4 linked regions of the Mus musculus genome follow. Each later gene encodes a partner of the first gene's protein in a complex. Links are inferred from orthologs where the notes say so. Each region holds a gene or a part of one and is shown in the gene's direction. Other genes may lie near its edges. The genes, in order: Ccnd1, Ambra1, Cdkn1a and Cdkn1b.

Region 1 (4,890 bases):
CTCAAGTGGAACCTGGCCGCCATGACTCCCCACGATTTCATCGAACACTTCCTCTCCAAAATGCCAGAGGCGGATGAGAACAAGCAGACCATCCGCAAGCATGCACAGACCTTTGTGGCCCTCTGTGCCACAGGTAAGGCTCCACCCCCATTCTTCCCAGGAAGAGCGGGCTCCTTGCCACTCCCCCTGGGGTTAAGGCCTCTTTCCTTGCTATCTATTCTGAGCCCAGGGTGCAGATAGTTTGTTGGAGAGATAGATGATACTGGGTGGCACATTCTCTTGGCTAGTATCTTGGAGACCTAACAGAATGACACAGCTTCCCTGTGCCAACCTTTCCACTGCCAGGAAGTGGTACGGCCACAGCATGCTTTCTGAAGAGGTTTTTGCCTCTTTTCCTAGGCTTCCTGCCTTGCCTCTGTTCTTAAGGAGCTCGAGCTATAGAGCACACACACACACACACACCAGCTTCTCCCAGGCTGAGCCACCTGCTAGGGGTTCCTACATGGATGGGACAAATGGTCCAGCCTCAGCCCCACGAGCTACATACAGTACAGTCCCAGAGCAGGAACTTAGAGGCCCCACCAGGGGTACTGCAGGCCAGTACTTTTTGGCTGAGTCCTGGGAGGGTTGGCTGGAAACAGAGAAACTAGAACCTCCCTATGACTCCTCCAAGGGACCCTCCCTGGCCCCAGACCCCAGGTAGATTAGGCTGACATAAGTCATGGTAGACAGCCATGCAGGAACCCACACACATAGACAACCCTGCTACTTCTGAGTGGTTTCAGTACTACTTCTGACAGCTGCTCCTCACCTCTAACTGAGAACCCTACCCAGGAGGCTTAGCAATATTGAGGGGGTGTGGTGTTCTCCCACCTGTTGAGGACCCCCTTCCTCTGTGGCCCTGATCAGACCTCAGTTGCTATAGCTGTTTGGCCTGTGATGTCAGAAGGGCCGGTAGAGTATCTCCCCCCACCCCCAACCTCCACCTCACCCCCGCTGTCTCAGTGACATCTTCTTATGTCTGACAGCCCCATAGCCAGTGTTTCTAAGCTGCTGGTGTGAGAATTTGGAAATTCTAGCTTGCCAACTACCTGCCGAGAGTGCTGAGCCCGCCCCAAGGGTACCAAACAAGGGGGTGGCAGATGGGAGTAGCAAGGCCATCAGTAGGCTGGAAGGATCTAAGGGGTGGGGGTGGCCCTGCTGGCAGTCAGGGAGGCAGCTGGCTGGGGTTTCTCTGAGGAGAGCGGAGCCTTTGGAAGCTCCAGGCAGCCTTTTATGGAGCTGAAAGTGCCTTCAGAGAGGCAGCAGAGTTTCCCAGAGATAACTTGGGGATGGAGAGGCACAACCTCCCCCAGGATAGTTCTGGCAGTAGTGTGCCCCTCCCGGGACCCCTAGATGCCAGCAGAGTAACCAGTAAGCGCTATATCTGGGTACAGCTGGACTCAGCTCTTCCAGCTCTCCTTACTGCCTTTGTCTGTGCCCCTGGAATACAGGTGGGGGTAAAGGACAGCTTGGTGACCTGCGGTAGGCCAGTGTTCTGTGGTCTGGAGCATTTGTTTCTCTGTAGGAGCAACCAGCTCCTTTGTCACACAGGAACCACTTTGGGAAAAGGCCAGTGTGACATCACCGTGAATGGAAAGATGCTGACATCAAGGCCAGGAGATCTGTCGTCTGTGTGACAGGGGTTCCCCCTATAGGAGATGGGAAGGCATAACTTCCCTTCTGCAAACCGCCCCCCCAACCTGGATTCCTGACTGCAGTTGAACAATGTGCTAGCTAGGGTTGGGGTTGTTAACACAGGTGGCCAGAGCGCTATGTGGATGGATACAGACAGTGGGAAACTGAACTTAATGAAGTATGTAGGTGTCAGACATGCCACTGAGCCAGGGTACACCTATGTCATCAGCAACCAGTGTGAAGACACAGATGTTAGTAGCTAGGGATCCTTATAGGACATAACAGATCTTGCTACTGCCCGTGGGAGGGAGAAAAACAGGCTCTGGAAGGGGCTGGGGACTCCTGGTCCTGCTGGCTGGAGTCTCACTCCCTGTAAAAGGGCTGTTTGTGATTTGAACTTGACTCCATAGCCAGGTTTTGGTTCACTGGACTCACTAGCATGAACTGTCCTTGGTGCCACCTGGAGGTATTGCTTGTCTGCTGGATCCCTTTAACAGCCAAAGCTGTATGTTCTCTCAGGGTGGTCCCCAGAGGGCCACCTCGCTACAGCAACTCTCTGCCTTCCTGATCCCATTCCTTCCAGCCTCCTTGATCCCAGGCTCTGGGTGACACACAAGATGATTGATGGGAGCTGACATCTGTTCATTCTTGTGTCCTCCTCTGGCCTGGAAGCCCTGATTCGCAGGCCAAGTGACCAGCTGTCCCTGTCACTATTTCTTTGTTGGACGTGACAGGGAAGCAGTTTTCAGACTCATCTTTGGTGGGTTTATGCGGAGAGGCATTCCATCGGTGTGACATACAACTGCAGGATGCTGAGTCCAGTGGACCTGAGAGGTGTGGAGTTGGTGACCCCAGATGAAGTCCTAAAATGACACCCCACTACTTCCCAGTTGGGACATGTACATATGAGAGTCCCTAAGACTCCAGGGCCCCTCATGAGGGACCTTGGCCTGGAGATCTGAGGTGGCTATTCCCAGCTCCCTCTGAGTCTATTCCTACTGGGTTTTCCTGGACTGGGGTCACATGTCTTCCCCAACCTGGGTCAGTAAGCCGGGAAGGCTAACTCCCTTCTGTGGAGTCTAGCCTGGCCTCTGAGGAACCTGGGCCTGTCATCTCTACAGCTTTCTCCTGTGTCTGAGATGTGTCTCTAGTCCTTGGGGTGCTGCCAGGCTGACTCTGGAAGAGACAGAGATCCCTGCCTCCCACCTCAGCCGCGCAAATACTGGGATGCAGATGTGAAAGCACCACACCTTCATAGATTCCATCCTCTTAGGGCGACATAGCCAACCCCTCCTTGATGTTTGCTGGAAGTGCTGGGGATTGAACCCGGTGTGTATGCCAGGCAGCATTTTAAAGTTTGAGCCAAGGCCTTATTGACAGGTAGCATCAAGGCTCTGGCCTGGACACCGTAATCCTCCGATGTGCTGGGGTCTAGAGATGCAGCACTGTGTGCACCTAGTGCCACTTAGGTGTCTCCAAGGGAGCTAGAGTTGATGTGGGCATCCATTGGAAGGGCTTGAAGACCGGCCCCGAGGCTGTGGGTGAGAGCTGAATCATAGGCATGTCTCTGTCCCTCTCGCTGTAGATGTGAAGTTCATTTCCAACCCACCCTCCATGGTAGCTGCTGGGAGCGTGGTGGCTGCGATGCAAGGCCTGAACCTGGGCAGCCCCAACAACTTCCTCTCCTGCTACCGCACAACGCACTTTCTTTCCAGAGTCATCAAGTGTGACCCGGTGAGTAAGTCTCATCAAAGGAGGCTACAGCTGGCAAGGGCCTGGGAACCTTGGTGGGCAGTGCCAAGGCACTGTGTGACTGGGCTGGAGCTGAGAGGTGCCAAATCTGGGTCCCCACGAGCTTCTTCCCAGAGTCATGGGTCCCAAAGGCATAGAGGGCTGTGGTGTGGTGACAGTGCCCCTGCAATGTGTATGGGTAGTGGCATGTGAAGCCCGGTCTGGCCCAGCCAGCATAGGACCATATCTCCCTCAGTGCAGACGTTGGGGATTGAATCCATAAAGGACTCTGGTATAGACCTACACATTCTAGAACTTTCTTTGTGTGAGAGAGGGGTTTGCATCAGGCAGACTGTGCTACGTCTAACTGTACCTTTCTGCCAAGGAGTACAGCTGATCATGCTTGGGGCTCTGGCCGTGAATGTTTCCTCAAGGGCATCACAAGTTGGCATAGGCAGGCAAAAGTCCAGTTCTGGCTTGAACTTCAGTTGGGGGTTCAATGGAGGTCAGAGCCACTGGCATGTGGAAGGCTTCCAGGTGTGACAGCTGTTCTGCCCTGCCTGGCATCAGCCACAGGGACACCCCGTGCCCCATTCCTACATATCTCAATTGTAGAGCATGCAGCCCCCTTCCCCTAAGTGTCTGGGGCTCCTGAGAACTGAGAATAGGGTATGTGGGCAGGTTGGAGCCCACAGGCTTCAGAGAGGGAAGGGTGTCTGTGGGTCCATACTAGGCTACTTGGGCCTCACTTTCTCCATCTGTGAAATGGGGCCATTGCCCTTCCATCCTCTAGCCATGGTGTTCATCAAACAAAGGGGGAACAATACACAAGTTTTGAATGTGGGGGCTTCCCAGGTGTTCCCCAGGAATCCTCCTGGCTTCAGGAATATAGACAGTGCCCTAGCTTCAGCCTGCCTAGGCAGGGCTTCAGTTCATGAGTCTTATTCCTGGGCAAATGCTTTCCAGACCCTACCTGTGCTGGAGCTGTCCTCTCTCAGAGGCCACCCAAGGCAAAAAGTTATGAGAGATAGACGCTCCTTGTGGGGAAGTTCAGGGTACAGCCTGGGAGGAGGAACCTAGAGAGTAGCAGTACCTTTCTAGTCTCTGGCAGCTCTCACTGGATTTAGGGGTGGCTTGGGGAGTTTCCTCAAGCCTTGCTCTTAGCAAAGCCTGCCTCGCAGGTCAAGGCCCTGGCCACCGGCCTCTGGCTAAACAAGGACCCCCTCCATCTCCGCCCGCCTCTCCAGGACTGCCTCCGTGCCTGCCAGGAACAGATTGAAGCCCTTCTGGAGTCAAGCCTGCGCCAGGCCCAGCAGAACGTCGACCCCAAGGCCACTGAGGAGGAGGGGGAAGTGGAGGAAGAGGCTGGTCTGGCCTGCACGCCCACCGACGTGCGAGATGTGGACATCTGAGGGCCACCGGGCAGGCGGGAGCCACCAAGTAGTGGCACCCGCAAAGAGGAAGGAGCCAGCCCGGGTGCTC
Region 2 (5,614 bases), on another chromosome or scaffold:
ATGTGAGCTCCTTCTTTCTGAAGAAATAGCTGAATTTCAATTGAATGTCTTATGGCAAAATTCATATAACTGATGCCATAATCTGTCTATGCCCCCATCCCATATGTTCCAGTTTCATACACTGTATATATTCTCTACTATATCAGCCATTTCAGCTAAGTACACTGTAGCTGTCTTCAGACACACCAGAAGAGGGCGTCAGATCTTATTAAGGATTGTTGTGAGCCACCATGTGGTTGCTGGGATTTGAACTCATGACCTTTGGAAGAGCAGTCAGTGCTCTTACCTGCTGAGCCATCTCTTCAGCCCTTTGGATTTCTTATATGGCAGAAAAATAAACTTGTACCTTGTTTCAGGTTTGGACTTTTTTGGTTTTTTTGAGGGGGGGAGGGAGGAGGAACAAGATCTCACAACATAGTCCTAGCTGTCCTGGTATTCACTGAGTTGATCAGGATGCAGGATGGCCTCTTGAACTCACAGAGATCAGTTTGCTTGTGCTTACTGAGTGCCAAGTGCTGAGATTAAAGGCATAGGCTAGCATGTGTAGCTCTTTTGGAGTTTTTTGTTTGTTTGCTTGCTTTTTTTGGGGGGGGGCAAGGCTGGCCTCAAACAATCATATTGCAATCTCCCTTGCCTCAGCCTCTAGAAAGTTGGGATTAAAGATGTAAAGATATACAGTATCATTTTTGTTTGCTTATGTCCAAGAAGACCTAATCATAAACAATAATATTGTAATTGCCTTTTCTCAAGAGTAGCAAATACCTATCACATGAAAAATATCTAGAAATAAAATGTACTGATTGTACAGTATGGAGTTTGGCCAGTACAGTTAGGATCAGCTACAAATCAAATATGTCTGTAAAAGCCTGTAATTCCAACAAGTAGGAGGCAGAGGGAGGAAGATAGACTTTGAAGTAATATGGATTACATAGTGAGATTCTGTTTAAAAAAAAAAAAAAGCCAGGCATGGTTGCTTATAATCCCAGCACTCAACTAGCTTGAGGCAAAAGGATTGCTGTGAGCTTGAGGTCAGCGTGGGCTTCATAGTGAGTTCCAAGCCAGCCAAGCTATAGAGTGTGAGCCTCCACTGCAGTCTCTCACACTCCCTCAGGCACACTGCAAATGTGGAACAGGAAGGCAAGCACATCAGAATTTCAAAGCCATTCTTGGATACACAGAGTTCAAGACCAGTGTGTGTGCCACACAAAATCCTGTCTCTAAAAACTATTTAGTGAACTAGCTACGAAGCTAACTAAAAGCACACTGTGGACTGTGGCTTTAGATCCTTGGAAGAAAATAAAAGAGAAGTAAGTGGTTTTTTTTTTGAGAAAGAATAGAATAGGCTGGGAGGTTGTGGTGTTCACCTTTAATCCCAGCACTCCGGAGGCAGAGGCAGGCAAATCTTTGTGAGTTGGAGGTCAGCCTGGTCTACAGAACCAGTTCCAGGACAGCCAAGGGTACACAGAGAGAAGCCTTGTCTGGCAAAACAAAACCAAAGAATAAAAATTTAAAAACAAGGTACAGGAACTTTCCCTTCCCACATTAAGGTGTGCCATTTTCTCTTGGATATTCTTCTAAAGCTGACCTGGAGCATTCATAGCGATTGTTCTTCAGCTCTGAGGGGAAACCAAGAATAAAGTGGTAAAGTCATTTGTTCAACTGGGACAAGTAGTGTGAGAAGTCTCTAAGTGTACGGCAGTCGTTGAACTATTAAGACGAGCTTTATTCTGCTATGATTTATCTTCAATCAATGTGCTCACAAAAGGCTAATTCCTTTTTCACTTAAAACAAGGTCTTTGGTGGCGCATGCCTTTAATCCCAGCACTTGGGAAACCCTGTCTCGAAAACCACACACTCAAAAAACAAAACAAAAACCAAAACCTAGCCAAACCAACCAACCAACCAAAAAAAAAAAAAAAAAAAAAAAAAAAAACAAAAAAACAACAAAAAAAAAAAACCACCAAGGTCTCATATAGTCCAGTTTGGCCTTGTGCTTAACTGACTATGACTTTGAACTCCAAATCCTCATGCCTCCTTTCCTAAAATGCAGGGACTACGGGGGGAGGGTGTGGGGGACTTTTGGGATAGCATTGGAAATGTAATTGAGGAAAATACGTAATAAAAAAAAAAAGTACCAGGAAAAAAAAAAAAAAGCAGGGATTACAAGCGTGCTCCTGTCTCAAAAATTTAGTTCTCTAAATTACTTTAACACTCTGTCACCAACAGAAAATGGCAGAATCCCAGCCTACTCTACGCTATAGTTTAATGATCTGGATTTGTTTATTTATGCCTAGGAAGGCAGCCGGATTTGCAGCAGGAGCTGAGCAATGTTTCGGCACTCGGCTGCAGTGCCTTGAACGATTGCTGGGGCGCTCTTCCTTTGATGTCTGGGCGTTCGTGTGTTCGATGATCTTTTGCGGCGTCTTCTTGGTTGATGTCTCCGGAGCGGCGGCGGCTGTGCCAGGTCCTGGACTGAGTTATCCCGGAGGCCCCGGGCTCTGGCCGCTTTCTTCCGCTGGTCGGTCGAGCGGACCCCTCGCTTTCTTCGGCCTCTCCCCGCCTTCCGTCCGTGGCTCCGTGCGCTCGCTGGCTTTCGGGCCGAGCTCTCACTCTCCTCGCAGGTAGGCCCGGGAGGAGCCTGGGAGGCCCGGTCCCGCATCCTTCCGCCCAAGGCAGGAGGAGACCTTAGCGCCGGCCGGTGGGCGAGCGCGCGGCCCGCCGGGGTGCGCGTTGTGAAGGGGGTTGCGCCCGGGGGCGCGGCCGGAGGGCGGCCCGGAACTGAGCGAGAAGCCGGAAGGAGGGAGAGATGCTGAAGCTGCCGGCCGGGTTCCGTAGAGAGGGGATGTCGGGTCCTGGACGCGTGTCGTCACCCCTAGATTGTAGGAACTTGGCTTTCTTAGACCCTATTCCCTTTCTCCTTTCCTACAACTCCGGTTCCGGATGTCATGCTCAGTTGCACTGGGGACCCCTACTGAGTTCAGCCTCGGAGTGCCCTTTTGAGTAGGTGGAGGCTATTGAAACTAGGCCCTCCAGCTCCTAGGAACGAAATATCACTTATAGTCTTTTGGGGTAGGGAAACCGAGGCTGAGGTAGGGGACGTGACTTTTCCCTGTGACCTCGACAGATCATTAAATGTGCTGTAAGGTTCTTTTTTTTTTTTTTTTTTTTTTTTTTTTGTCTTTAACAGTTCACAATTCTCCCATTTTACTGGTCACTTTTTACTTAACAGTCTCTCATTTGACTTTTTGGAACTCTTCTTTCTTAGAAACATATATTGTGTTACTGGAGGCTTCAGACATTAAGGGAGCAAGTGATGTTTTTGACTGGGTTTGCTTTTTCGAAGTTTGTATCGTTTTAGCAAAAGTAGTAAGGATAGTTTAGTTTTGTTTACTCATAAATAATTTGTTTACTTCCACTTTACTTCTGATTAATACTGATTCCACTCTTCAGCTTGTTCTGAAACTTTCTGCTATGGTGTTAAGTACTTAGTGCAAGATGGAAGATGCTTAAGATGGTTAAGACTTTGAATTCAGGTTCTTGTCTTGTGGAGGTCTTTTCTAGGAGGGAATCCAAGGAATCTCTTTTGAAACTTTTTTTTATTTGGTTAGTGATTTAGTCATTTTATTCAAGAGTTCAAAAGTCTGTGTAGAAATTATTCAAACATAATTGAAGATGAATCATTTGTGAACTTTACTGTTTCTCTCTTTTTTTTTTAAAGATTTATTTATTATATGTAAGTATACTGTAGCTGTCTTCAGGCACACCAGAAGAGGGTGTCAGATCTCATTACTGGTGGTTGTGAGCCACCATGTGGTTGCTGGGATTTGAACTCAGGACCTTTGTAAGAGCAGTCAGTGCTCTTACCCGCTGACCCATCTCGCCAGCCCTCTCTTTTCTTTTTCAAGGCCTTAAGGTCTAAGTGTTTTTGTTAATTTCATTTAATCAAATGTCTTGATCCTAAAAAAAAGTCTTGGAGGTTGTTTGATGTTGGGTAAGTTTCCACACTATATAGAAGTCATAGGAGAGTTGATTTTAAGGGTGTATAGATTGTGAAAATCAGTTTCTGCACAGTTTTAAGATGCTTCAGGCCGGGCGTGGTGGCGCACGCCTGTAATCCCAGCACTTGGGAGGCAGAGGCAGGCGGATTTCTGAGTTCAAGGCCAGCCTGGTCTACAAAGTGAGTTCCAGGACAGCCAGGGATATACAGAGAAACCCTGTCTCGAAAAAAAAAAGAAAAAAAGAAAAAAGATGCTTCAGGAACTTTAGAAAGATGATAGAATTTTACATTGTTTCTCTAATTTTTCCTTTAATGTATGTGTAAGGTCAGTGAGGTTTATTATTATTTCTCGCCTTTAGAAGTGCTGGGAATTTTGAACCCAAGGTCACACGCACGTGCTCTTCCACAGAGCTACATCCCTACCCCTGAGATCAGTAATACTTAAATGAAGGTGATTGATGGAATGATTGATTGTGTGTCTGTGTGTCTGTCTGCACATGGGCATGCCATGCATGCATATGGATGTCAGAGGACAATTTCCAGGAGTCATTTCTCTCTGGCACACGGTTCCCAAGTGAATTCAGGTCATCTGGCTTGATAGTAATCTGAGCCATTTTGTTTTTTTTTTTTTGTTTGGTTTTTGTTTTTTTTTAGACAGGGTTTCTCTGAGTAGCCCTGGCTGTCCTGGAACTCACTCTGTAGACCAGGCTGGCCTCGAACTCAGAAATCCACCTGCCTCTGCCTCCCAAGTGCTGGGATTAAAGGTGTAAGCCACCACTGCCTGGCTACTTGATTCATTTTTGTATGCTTTTTTTTGTTTGTGTGTTGCTGTTTTTGAGGCAGGATCCCTTATATTCCAGGCTAGCTTCATTGACTGTGCAGCTGAGGACGGCCTGAGCTCTTTGATCCTCCTGCCTCCACCTCAGTTACTGGATTACCAGTGTGAACCACTGCTTGACAATTACTGAAGTCAATTTGGGCTGTTTCCTGGGATTTCAGAAATGTTCACATTATGACTGAGTTATTCTGTATTTTCATAAGATGGTTCTTGTGGATAATTAAGAGATATAAGCTGCCTGGTGTTGGTGGTTCACACCTTTAATTCCTGCACTTGGGAGGCAGAGGCAGGCGGATTTCTGAGTTCGAGGCTGAGAAACCCTCTCAGAAAAAAAAAAAGAAAGAAAGAAAGAAAGAAAGAAAGAAAGAAAAAAAGAGATATAAGCTTCAAATAGCTGTGGCAGTACATACTTTAAATTCCAACACTCCAGAGAGACTGAGGCAGGAAGATTGTAAGTTCTAGGTCAGCCTGAGTTAACATCCTGAGACTTCCTCAAGAAACAACAACAGAAACCAACAACAGAGACAAGAAAGACGAAAGCTTCTGAATGTGTTCTGGAATGTGGCCTGGACCAGAGTTACTGAAATAAACTGCTTTCTTTTTTTTAACTAAAAGAGAAAATGCTTTTTCTTTTTTAATGTTTTTTTTTTTTTAAAGACTTTTCATTTATTATTATAGTAAGTACACTGTAGCTATCCTCAGACACACCAGAAGAGGGAGTCAGAGCCCGCTACAGATGGTTGTGAGCCACCATGTGGTCGCTGGGACCCGAACTCTGG
Region 3 (5,444 bases), on another chromosome or scaffold:
ACTTGGATGCAGGGACTGGACCGTTCAGGAGCTGGGGCATTGTGGGAGTGGCCATTATGTCTGTCCTGGTTTGGGGGTCTGAAGGGGGTCCTTCAACTGTGTTTCTGAACAGGATGAGGCTTTTGAGGGGGGTTGGGAAGGTGGCCAAGCCCTTCCCAGACTTCCACCCCCCATCACAGAAGAGGAGGCCTGTCTAGGTCAGCTAAATCCGAGGAGGAAGACTGGGCATGTCTGGGCAGCGATCTCTAGACATCGGAGAGCAGATGTCAGAACTCACAGCTTCTCCAAAGCAGGATTTTGATCTTTTAACTAAAGATATCCGTTCAAACTAAGACTCCAGTCTCTGCTTTATTTAAAATTTTTGTTTGTGTTTGTTTTGAGAGAGAGAGGAATTTGTTTTTGTTTTAGAGGCAGGATGTCATGTAACCTTGATGAATTATTGGTCCTCCTGTTTCTGTCTCCTGAGTGCCGGGATTACAGATGTATGCCGCTATCATCTAGATGATGCCTTACTAGGGATCCAACTCCTGGCTTCATACATGTTAGGCAAGCGCTATATTAACGGAGCTACATCCCTTTTTGGATGCATGGTGATCTCAGATAGCTCAGGCTAGCCTTGAGCTCCAAATCCCCCCTGCCTCCCAAGTACCGTGATTTCAGGCATGTACCTCTATGCTTAGCTGAGATGGTGGTCTTGCTATGTAGCCCATGTGACCAGGCTGGATCGTGTAACAAGACTGAAGAAAACCCCCTTCTGCTGGGTGTGATGGCTCAGACCTGTAGTCTTAACTCTAAGCAAGGAAGTTAAGGCAGGAAGATTGCCTTGAATATGAGGGCCACCCTGGGCTACATAGCGAGGCCTCGTCTCAAAAGACCCCAAACAGAAGGAAATAAAACTGACTAGAGACATGGAGGAAGGTGGGAACGGAGAATGTCTTACTGCTATGTCTGTCAGGAACATCCGTAGATGTTTCTAGAATTGTCCTTTATCAATGTCATTTTAGTGGACTGTCTGGATCTTGGGAGGGGGAGTATTAGACATTTCCCTCATTTTGGACCCAGAGAAAGAAATCTGCAAGCAGAGTACTCTGGGCAGCTTGCCAGAGGTCAGCAGGTAGCCATTAGTGTGGTCCCAGTCAGGTCTTGATGCTCTCACTTGCAGGATGTATTATGGTGTGAGAAATGTTCACATGCTGGCTTCTGAAGAGGGGAGAGGGGAGGTAAGGAGCCTGGCGGCTGTTTTTCTTGGTAGTCCGTGGTCTGAGAACTGGACTCAATCTCCCCGATTTCTGAGGCGGTTGACAGCATCCTTTCCTTCTGTGGAACTGCTTTCCTCGTCTGTGAGACAGGGAGGAAATGATCGCGTTCTGGACCCGATGTCCGAGGGGCTTCTGGGAGGAGGGGGAAAAAAATCTCCAGACATAGTGGGACTTCTTGGGATTTTAAACTATTTTTTATTATTTATGGGCTTGTTTTGTTTTTGAGAGGGTCTCAATGGATAGCCCAGGCTGGTCTTGAACCTGTAACGCCCCTCGTGCCTCAATCTCCCAAGTATAGGATTCCAGGCTTTTGCTATCATACTCAAATGATCAATTTATTTATATTTGAAACAGTGTCACATATTTCAAGTTGGTCTCCATCGGAATAGGTAGCTGTCAAAACGACCTTGAATGCCTATTTCCCCCTCCTCACCCCCCACTGGGCGCTGTTATTACAGACGTGACCCCGCATGCCCAGTTTATGGGGCCCTGGAGCTCCAACCCAGGGCTTCACTTCCAGCAAGTTAGGCAAACACTGTACCAACAGACCCACCTCCCGAAACCCAGGATTTTATTTACTAATATCAGTGATCTGGAAAAGAGTTAGTCCTTCCCACAGTTGGTCAGGGACAGACCCATAAACACTCACTCAGCTCTAACTGTACTGTTGTTCATAGATGTATGTGGCTCTGCTGGTGCGCTGCGTGACAAGAGAATAGCCCAGGTGTGGGGGAGGGGAGGGCGCGCCCTCTTAACGCGCGCCGGTTCTAGCTGTCTGGCGCGGGCTTAGATTCCCAGAGGGGAGGGCGGGCCAGCGAGTCCCCGGGATCGGTGAAGGAGTGGGTTGGTCCTGCCTCTGAGGGGGCGGGGCCTGGGCCGACGCTATAAGGAGGCAGCTCGACGCCAACTGCAGCAGCCGAGAGGTGTGAGCCGCCGCGGTGTCAGAGTCTAGGGGAATTGGAGTCAGGCGCAGATCCACAGCGATATCCAGACATTCAGAGGTGAGAGCTTCGTGGCAGGGAACAATAGTTCTTCCCCGTAGCAATGCGCTGAGCCCAGTGGGTGTCCCCAGAAGTGTGTGTGTGTGTGTGTGTGTGTGTGTGTGGTGATGAGTGGATCACCTGTGTGTGTATATGTGTATTTGTGCGTGCCCGCCAGAGTCACAGGTGTGTCCGCGGCAGGTGGATGACGGGTGTGGGTCTGAGCGTCCGTGGTGGCTGAAGGCTTCGTTTGTTGGAGTGTGACGAGGGTCAGGCTATGTCGCGGACTCGGCATACAGAGTCTGAACTCCAGGACCACGGATGGCAGCCACTCTTCCAGTCCTTGGAGACCGGGTCCGAGCGATGGCTGGCGGGGATCGGCTACCGGGAGCTCGCTTCTGGTTGCCAATGTTTCTAGGGATTCCAGGTGCGGCTCGCCCAAAGCGTGAGAATGAAGCTCACGGTGCCCCGAGATGGGTCCTGGGTGGCGGTTGTGACAAGCTTCGGCGAGTCTATCTAGAGCTTAGCGCAGAGCGGTTCTCCGATCCCATGGGTGCCGCCGGATCCCCGGTCCTTGTGAACCAAGTGCCCTGTTTCGCGGTAGCCACCACCCCACTGGGCTCTGAGGTCAGCGCGAGCTGTGTCCTCCGCCCTCGGGATCGTGCCTGGGCACGTCCTAGAGGACAGGCGAGGAGGTGACTCATTGTGACAAGGAGACCCCGGGCACTGGATTGAGACCAGAATCGCGCCACAACTGGGGATGGGTCAGTGGCAGCCCAGAAGCCCCTTTCCCTGCCCGGGTACAGCCTCGTTCCTGCCCCGTCCCCTCCCCCGCGCGGCACAGTGACCTATTTGGCGGGCACAGTATGTTCCCAGGGAACCCGGGACACGGGGAGGTCCAGGACGCGGTGTCCGGTCCCCGCTCGGCGGCGCGCCCTCGGGGACAGGGAGTCTGGGCGGGTCCTGTCCACCCTGCCAGCCCGGGAAGCGCAAAGGGTCCCACCCACCGCGCCCACCACGACCCGGACCAGTGACCGTGGGGCGCGAGAGGAGCCCGCACTGTAGAGCGGCCGGTATCCTCGCGGAGTGAGGCTTACGGGTGCCGTACATCAGACGCCCCGGGGCTGGGGCCCTCGACCCAGTCCACACCCAGTGTAGGAAGGTGACCAGGCTGAGTGCGCCCACTAGGGCACATCCATTCCACTCGGAACCTCCGGGGACAAGGGCTACACTTGCACCCTGGTCGTGCGGGAAATACTTTGGGCTTGGGTTTGGCATTTGGGGGCGCGCTGGCAGCTTCCTCTGTCCCCTACGTCGCGTTTCAGAGAGGACACTCAGGCGGTTTTTTGTTGTCCTCGCCCTCATCTATTTTTATTTTCCAGGGATCTGACTCATCGCGTGCTTTGGGCGTGGAGATCAAGGTGGAGGGGGCCAGAGCTAAGAGCACTTTCTTTGCTCTCGAGTGTCCGTGCGTGCGTGTGTGCGTGCGTGCGTATGTGTGTGTGTGTGTGTGTCTGTGTACGTGCGTGTGTGTGTGTGTGTGTATGCGTGCGCGCGCGCGCGCTCAGTCTGGTTTCCCAACATAGGCGGGAATTTAGGAAGCCTGGGCTCATCGTGACGTGTTTTGTGGCCCGGGGTCCCCCTCCTTTCCTCTCCTCTCTCCACCCCAGGGTGACGCGCAGCTCCGGTGCCCAAGCAGTTTTGGCGGGCGGGCAGCGCCGGGCAGGAAACTGACTCACCACTCCTTGCTCGGCCTACGCGCCGCCTACCGAGCGCCATTTCCTGAGTGCACAGCGCCCCCTACCGGCATCAGTGAGGACTGCAAGGCCGGCTAGGCGCGGGTGGCACCACGGGCTTCTGCCACCCCCACCGCGGCTTAAAGGGAATTAAAATATGCCTGATGGCCAGATACAAGTGATTTTAGCAGGGTGTGCTAGCGGACTATTAGGGAGGCGTGGCCCTTGAGAGACAAGGTGGAGATCGTGCCCCTCTTGGGTTCCTGGTCTTATCTTCAGCTATGAAAAACTGGGGACTATCCAGCCTTAGCCGAGTCCATTGGTGTCTTCCCTTCCTTCCTCTGGCCCCTGTGAGCTACCGTCTGGGGAAGGGCACCAAACTTGTTTTTCGGCTCAGTTTGTCTGGGGAAATGAGCCAATCTATATTTCTATATCTATATAGATCTCTCTCTCTGTCTCTGTGTGTGTGTGAAAGAGAGACAGAGACAGAGAGACAAGCTTACAAAATGGCCCCAGCTACCAGTACTATATAGACAGGCTGGCCCAGTGGCCTGGAACTCATAAGGATCACGTGCCTCTGGTGGAGTGCTGGGATTAAAGACTCTCCCCATAACATGGAGCTCAGTCTATATTTAATAAAAAAGCTTTTCCAGCTGATTTTAATGGAGTCCTCTGGTCATGCCCCTCAAGGTGAGAAGACGAGAGAATGATCAATACTAGACCAAAAGGGTCTGAATTCAAACCCCGCTTGTGAGCCCTGTGCCTTTGGACACACATTCTGAACCTGGATTAGCTCTGCCGTAAAAGAATGTGATATTGCCATCTATTAACGATAGCTTTTGGTGGCTTACAACTGCAATCCCAGCACACTAGAGGCAGAGGCAGGAGGATGACTGAGTTGTACTAAAGGATGTGAATAGGCCCCAAGCTCTACCTGTAGGCAGAGGCCATCTGAGGTCCTTTAGGCCTCTGAGGTCTGCACCTTGAGAATCCTTTTGCGGGCAGTGGGAATCCTTGTTAGACCTGTGTTTCGGTTGGTTGGTGTTTAGCCAGGCTCTCACTATGCACACCAGGATGGCCTTCAACTCACAGACATTTTGCCTCTGCCTCCCGAGTGCTGTGTTTTGGGAATTGGCTGTTTTACTTATTTATGGAAGCCACAATGCTGGCCACGTTCCCTATGTAGTAGCCAAGGTAGACCCTGAACTTCTTTCCCTACCTCTGCCTCCAGCGATTACAGGTGTGTGCCGCCACACCCAGTTTTATAGAGAGCTCCTTGCTTAGCACAAGGCCCAGGCTTTACCATCGGGGCCCCAGACGCTTCATCTCTTCTGGCTTCCTACCTTGAATCATAGTCTGGGTACCCCCTTCTCTCTTCCAGCTGTGGGCAAACTCACCCTGAGGTCTTAAGGAGCTGGGCGTGTGTATGTGTGTGGTAGTGTATGTGGTAAGAGCCCAGGGGGTCTTGC
Region 4 (5,641 bases), on another chromosome or scaffold:
AGTGCAAAACCACAGCAAACAAAGCACCCCAGAAGAGGCAACTCCCCACCTTGGTCCCAACTGAACAGTGCAGAAGGCCTGGATTTGAAGTCCACGCCTGGATGCTGCCTTCTTTCCTACTCAATGAGCCCCACCCATCTTTTTGGAATCTGTATTTCAGCTGAACTAGTAGATAGTGATACCAAAGGCTTGTGACAGCTGCACTTGATGATCAAGGAGACATCTGTGGGCATCCAAGGCCTGGAAAGAGACCTTTTGGATCCTTGTAAGAGAGTAGAGTCTGCAGACTGCAACCCATCCAAATCCAGACAAAATCAGGAACACTGAGACCACCAGAAGAAAACAGACAAAACCCAAACCAGCCGAGAATGAGGAGACTCTGCCACCAACTGAATAGAAGTCCCCAGACAGGAAACCTGAGTATCAATTTCCTCATTGGTAAAAAGAGGCTAAACCTATCTAAGAACTTTCTGGACTGTTACATTTTGAATGCAGGAGGCAAGGCACACACACACACACACACACACACACACACACACACACACACACGTGCACGTGCGCGCGCGCGCGCGCACACACACACACACACACACACACACACATCCTGGCAAAGATGTGGCTAAGAAAACAAGTCAATATTCAGTCTCACCTACACCAGAGGAAGATAGGAAAACCATGCTTCTTTGGGACACTAAACCAGAAATTTAATTTCCTGTAACATGTTTTGTGTTTAGCGCAAACCAAGACTGTTTGGGAATACTAGTGGGCAAAGCCCTTAAAATCTCACTGAACTCTGAGATACGACAGGCCTGGCTATTCTGTTTTAACTTCTGTCACTGTGCTCAGCAGTGATAGAGAAATGTGAAGTTGCCCAAGGAGCTGAAAAAAACCCACCCAACATTACTAGATGTTGGTAATACCGTGGTGGTGGTATTATAAATCACTTGCAAATCTAGTCTTAGATCCTTAGGAAAGTGTTTTCGCCCTTTAACAACCTGCAGCTCTCTAAAAGTATTTGCTTGTATTTGAATATTGTACTGAGTAGGTTGGAAGCAACAGGCTGGTGGGAGAAAAAAGAGAAGGAAGGCACTGTTGTAGTTGGCGTCTGGACTCAGGTGGAGGGAACGGCTTCGCCCGGGAAAGAACATAAGGGTATAAAGGCGAGTTCCCACACGCTATAGCAATGGCTTTCACTGTGCTTAGGAACCAAGAAAATCAGAACTGGCTTTTTCTGATTTCTGTCTGGGACGGCTCTAAAGAGAGGCTTGGGAGAGCACTGGGGGTTTTCAATCTCGAGATCCTACGGTGGAAGCGCTTGGATTCAGAAACACCCTGATAAGAGCGGTCAGTCCTGGCTTCTTTTTGAAACCACCTCCTGGCCTGTCCTACATAGCAGAGACTTCTGGGGTCAGGCTAAGCGGCCGATTCCGCACCCCAGCTAAGGCACCCTGCCGGGTGGGGGTGGGTGGGCTGCCCCAGGCCCTGAGCCAAGGTTTCCTGAATCTCTCGCATACCCTCCTCCATTCCCACCTCGGCGAATGCAGGTGGGCTGAACTAGCCACCGAAGCTCCTAATAAGCCGCCAGCGACCTAGGAGCCCACTGGTCCAGGCCCTAGGTTTCGCGGGCAAAGACCTGGAGGTCGCAGTCGGGAGCGGTGACGCGCCTGCCAGCGCAGCTCTGCAGCGCCGGGACCTAGATCCCCGGGTCCCTGCCTGGCCGCCGCGCTGGCCCCTCCCCAGCTCTCCGGCCGTTTGGCTAGTTTGTTTGTCTTATTTTTAATTTCTCCGGGGCCAGCCAGAGCAGGTTTGTTGGCAGTCGTACACCTCCGAGTAGTCACGCGACCAGCCAATGTCCTGGCGGCGCTACGGGGAGGCGGCGCGCTCGGGAGCGCGGAGAGGCGGCGGCGCCGCGCCCGGGGCCACCTTAAGAGCGCGCTCGCCAGCCTGGGCGGAGCGGCTCCCGGCGCCGAGACCAATGGAGCTCCTCCTCTGTTTAAATAGACTTGCAGTGTCAATCATCTTCTTCTTCGTCAGCCTCCCTTCCACCGCCATATTGGGCAACTAAAAAAGGAGGGGGGCTCGTGCTTTTGGGGTGTTTTCCCCCCTCATCCCTTGTCCCGACTCACTCGCGGCTCCGAGACTCGCGCGGCGGCAAGGTTTGGAGAGGGGCTGCGTTCGCGGGACACACGGGCTCGCCCCAGCCTACGCTCCGACTGTTTGCCACCTCCTCCTGCCTCCTCCCCTCCCTTCCCCGCCCTCCAGTACACTTGATCACTGAAGCCTCGAGCTGCGCGGCGGCTGGGGTGTCCCTGCGCCTCTCTTCCCCAGACCTGCGCGCTACTGCGGCTCGGGCGGTCGCTCGCCTGGCTCTGCTCCATTTGACTGTCTGTGTGCAGTCGCAGAACTTCGAAGAGGGTTTTGCGCTCCATCCGTGGCGTTTCGCTTTTGTTCGGTTTTGTTGTTTATTTCATTTTTTTTTTTCCGGAGAGAGGCGAGGCGGTGGTCCACACCCGCCCGAGGAGGAAGATGTCAAACGTGAGAGTGTCTAACGGGAGCCCGAGCCTGGAGCGGATGGACGCCAGACAAGCGGAGCACCCCAAGCCTTCCGCCTGCAGAAATCTCTTCGGCCCGGTCAATCATGAAGAACTAACCCGGGACTTGGAGAAGCACTGCCGGGATATGGAAGAAGCGAGTCAGCGCAAGTGGAATTTCGACTTTCAGAATCATAAGCCCCTGGAGGGCAGATACGAGTGGCAGGAGGTGGAGAGGGGCAGCTTGCCCGAGTTCTACTACAGGCCCCCGCGCCCCCCCAAGAGCGCCTGCAAGGTGCTGGCGCAGGAGAGCCAGGATGTCAGCGGGAGCCGCCAGGCGGTGCCTTTAATTGGGTCTCAGGCAAACTCTGAGGACCGGCATTTGGTGGACCAAATGCCTGACTCGTCAGACAATCCGGCTGGGTTAGCGGAGCAGTGTCCAGGGATGAGGAAGCGACCTGCTGCAGAAGGTAGTGACTCTTTGGAAAACTTAAAATGTCTGTCTGTCTGTCTGTCTCCGTAAGCGCCCCTTTACTAGACCCTGTTCACTTGCTTTCTCCAGCGTGTTCTGCTTTAGCTCTGGGAAATCGAACTTGTTTGAAGCTTAGGTTTGACATACCCCCTATCCGACTGCTTGCCCTGTTTATGATTTTGAAGTCAGAAGCCGGAGATAGTAAGATGTGATAACTTCCGTAGCCGAACGCATCACAGTTCCTCCCCTCTAGCCAGCTGTAGATACGTGACAAAAGTTCGGATGTTTACCAACTGCCTCCTCCTTGGCTGGGGTGGGGGGGTGGGGGTGGGGATGGGGGTGGGGAAGAGACGTGGGGTGTAGAATACTCCTTGTGTTAGTGGGAACAACCTTATTTTGTGTCCTTAGATGCTACCGGGGATGACGGGTCCAGGGGTCGTGGGTGGAGGTAGTGAGTGGGTTGTTCATCCCTTGGGCCTACTTCTGTCAGCCATTGTTGTCGATAATAAAGATGGTTTGTGTGTGTTCTCTTAAAAATTTCCCCTTGCCCCCCTCTTAGATTCTTCTTCGCAAAACAAAAGGGCCAACAGAACAGAAGAAAATGTTTCAGACGGTTCCCCGAACGCTGGCACTGTGGAGCAGACGCCCAAGAAGCCCGGCCTTCGACGCCAGACGTAAACAGCTCCGGTGGGTTAATGAGGAAGAACACAAAACTGACACCCCATCTGGGCTGCGCTCCCCGGGGGGCCTGCAGACCCCAGGACTGCTGGCAGATTAGTTGCCTGCCAGGAGGAATTACTTTCCTTGATCAAAAAAATTAACACTGGGGAAGGCTGGAATCACTTGAGGGGACTATAATGCAGTATTTGCACCCCAAGATATTTACCTTAAAGTGGAATCAGAATGAGGTTCCCAAGCAAGAACTTGCCACCAAGGCCCCAAAGGATAGGGACGGTCGTATCCTTATGAATCCCACTAAAACTTAGGCTGGGAATGACAGTTTTCCTTTCCAGTCTCAGTTCATGAGAACCCATTTCCCAGAGGTTCGTTTTGAGCCAATAGCCTATTTTGAACCATTTGAACTGTAGAAAAATGGCAAATATATACTTACATGTATGTTCTTAAGAGAAAAACTAGGTACCCATAGTGCACGTTTGATTAGGAGTGTGAATAGAGCTGCCGTGGCTCGAGTTCTTTTTATCTTTTGCTTTTGTTTTGGTTTTTGGTTTTTTGAGATAGGGTTTCTCTGTGTAACAAACAGCTCGGGCTATTCTGGGAATTGCTCTGTAGACCACGCTGGCTTCGAACTCACAGAGATCTGTATTGTCTCTGCCTCCTGAGTGCTGAGATTAGAGGTTGTGTGCCATCACCTCTGGGTACTTTTTTATTTTTTTTTAAAGTTGTGCCTTGTATGCTGGTAAATTTTGGAGAGAAAGGAACTTCATACTTAAAAAAAAAATTAGACTGGAAAGTTCAGAAGTACTAATGCTCCCACAGAATTGATTTTAACCCTGAGGTTACAAAGCAGAAGTTAAATGAACAGCTAGAGGAAGCAGCCTTCCCACACGTCAGCACCGTATGCTAATTTGCTGGAACAGGACGGTTTGGATGTTTATAGGGGAAATGGATAGTAGATGTTAGGACCAACTGAGAAGGTCCAACACAAGTGTGGATTTTTCCATGTGTCAAAAATCTCATCACCCCACTTGCCTAATTAGAGTAACCCAGCCCCTAAATTTACATAGATTGACTATTCATATGCTCTAACTACTTATAATAGTTTATAAGCTCCTTATGAAGAAAACCAGCATTCTCTATTTCTAAAGCCCACTTATAACCCAGCATACAAATAGATCTTAACAGTTTATTATTAACTTTTCAGGTCCTCATTTATTGAAATTTAAAAATAAATGAAGGAATATAGAGATGGCACAGGGTTCCAGCTTGTTGTGTTTATAAATCATAAAGTCATGATATACCTTCTACAGACATAGCATTTTTTCAGAGATGGAAAATGGCCATTAGAGTCACTTTCCATATTATACCCTCTATAAAGTTGTCGAATTGGATGGGAGTTCTTTCTAACTAGCCATCACACCTGTAGCTTTAGTTGCTTTGTGTGGCTTCTGGCCTAGCTTTTCAGATGAGCCGCCTGGATTTTTACCTGGCCTGTTCTGATAAAGAGGCATTTATTAGCCAAGCAACCATAAGACTCTAGTCAAAAGCACTCGTGCAGATATGCTGCATATGAGTAAGAAATTGCAATTTTGTAAACATTCCTCGACTTGGTGGGGAGGAATAATTTTATAATTGCATTTCCAGGTATTTTTCAAGATTACGAAAATATGCTACTCTGATGTGTTATGGTTCCTGAATTTCTTTTCTTTCTCACCCTCTTTGACCCAGATTTTATAGAGCGAGTTTCTCAACCTCTGCACAGTTGACATTTTGAGCCAAATTATTCTTTGTTGTGGTAGGCAGTCCTGTGCATTTTAGAATGTTTGGCATTATCTCTGGCCTCCCCCACAAGATGCCAGTAGCAATCTTCTTCCCGAAGCTGTGACAATCAGAAATGTCTCTTAGACATTTCCAAATGTCCCCTGGGGCATGGGAGGGTTTCACAAAATTGCCCACTTGT

The links.
Region 2: the proteins of Ccnd1 (region 1) and Ambra1 are in contact, whole or in part, in a cryo-EM structure (PDB 9IVD), measured with the Homo sapiens proteins. The link is inferred for Mus musculus from reciprocal best matches to the Homo sapiens genes CCND1 and AMBRA1. Residues at the interface, in NP_444284.1 of Homo sapiens: Thr286, Pro287, Thr288, Asp289, Val290, Arg291, Val293, Asp294, Ile295; in NP_001354397.1 of Homo sapiens: Arg54, Ser55, Phe57, Val73, His75, Arg96, Thr97, Trp99, Leu116, Ala139, Arg184, Ile945, Asn1012, Asn1029.
Region 3: the proteins of Ccnd1 (region 1) and Cdkn1a are in contact, whole or in part, in a crystal structure (PDB 6P8H), measured with the Homo sapiens proteins. The link is inferred for Mus musculus from reciprocal best matches to the Homo sapiens genes CCND1 and CDKN1A. Residues at the interface, in NP_444284.1 of Homo sapiens: Met56, Ile59, Thr62, Trp63, Glu66, Val67, Glu70, Glu92, Lys95, Lys96, Ser97, Arg98, Leu99, Gln100, Leu101, Ile126, Tyr127, Thr128, Asp129, Ser131, Arg133, Glu136, Gln139, Met140, Leu142, Leu143, Asn146, Lys147; in NP_000380.1 of Homo sapiens: Ser15, Lys16, Ala17, Cys18, Arg19, Arg20, Leu21, Phe22, Gly23, Pro24, Val25, Ser27, Gln29, Leu30, Asp33, Cys34, Asp35, Leu37, Met38, Cys41.
Region 4: the proteins of Ccnd1 (region 1) and Cdkn1b are in contact, whole or in part, in a crystal structure (PDB 6P8F), measured with the Homo sapiens proteins. The link is inferred for Mus musculus from reciprocal best matches to the Homo sapiens genes CCND1 and CDKN1B. Residues at the interface, in NP_444284.1 of Homo sapiens: Met56, Ile59, Val60, Trp63, Glu66, Val67, Glu70, Glu92, Lys95, Lys96, Ser97, Arg98, Leu99, Gln100, Leu101, Ile126, Tyr127, Thr128, Asp129, Ser131, Arg133, Glu136, Gln139, Met140, Leu142, Leu143, Asn146, Lys147; in NP_004055.1 of Homo sapiens: Lys25, Pro26, Ser27, Ala28, Cys29, Arg30, Asn31, Leu32, Phe33, Pro35, Val36, His38, Glu39, Glu40, Leu41, Thr42, Asp44, Leu45, His48, Cys49, Met52.

Annotation. Positions count from the first base shown.
Region 1 is NC_000073.6:144,932,537-144,937,426, reverse strand, and holds part of Ccnd1 (G1/S-specific cyclin-D1), read left to right. Parts: coding exon 1-133; intron 134-3,262; coding exon 3,263-3,411; intron 3,412-4,589; coding exon of another isoform or gene 4,590-4,655; coding exon 4,656-4,820; 3' UTR 4,821-4,890. UniProt on the Homo sapiens protein: Regulatory component of the cyclin D1-CDK4 (DC) complex that phosphorylates and inhibits members of the retinoblastoma (RB) protein family including RB1 and regulates the cell-cycle during G(1)/S transition.
Region 2 is NC_000068.7:91,727,759-91,733,372, forward strand, and holds the start of Ambra1 (activating molecule in BECN1-regulated autophagy protein 1), read left to right. Parts: upstream 1-2,379; 5' UTR 2,380-2,621; intron 2,622-5,614. UniProt on the Homo sapiens protein: Substrate-recognition component of a DCX (DDB1-CUL4-X-box) E3 ubiquitin-protein ligase complex involved in cell cycle control and autophagy.
Region 3 is NC_000083.6:29,091,602-29,097,045, forward strand, and holds the start of Cdkn1a (cyclin-dependent kinase inhibitor 1), read left to right. Parts: upstream 1-2,167; 5' UTR 2,168-2,260; intron 2,261-5,444. UniProt on the Homo sapiens protein: Plays an important role in controlling cell cycle progression and DNA damage-induced G2 arrest. Involved in p53/TP53 mediated inhibition of cellular proliferation in response to DNA damage.
Region 4 is NC_000072.6:134,918,394-134,924,034, forward strand, and holds the start of Cdkn1b (cyclin-dependent kinase inhibitor 1B), read left to right. Parts: upstream 1-2,007; 5' UTR 2,008-2,526; coding exon 2,527-3,001; intron 3,002-3,562; coding exon 3,563-3,681; 3' UTR 3,682-3,690; intron 3,691-5,641. UniProt on the Homo sapiens protein: Important regulator of cell cycle progression. Inhibits the kinase activity of CDK2 bound to cyclin A, but has little inhibitory activity on CDK2 bound to SPDYA. Involved in G1 arrest. Potent inhibitor of cyclin E- and cyclin A-CDK2 complexes.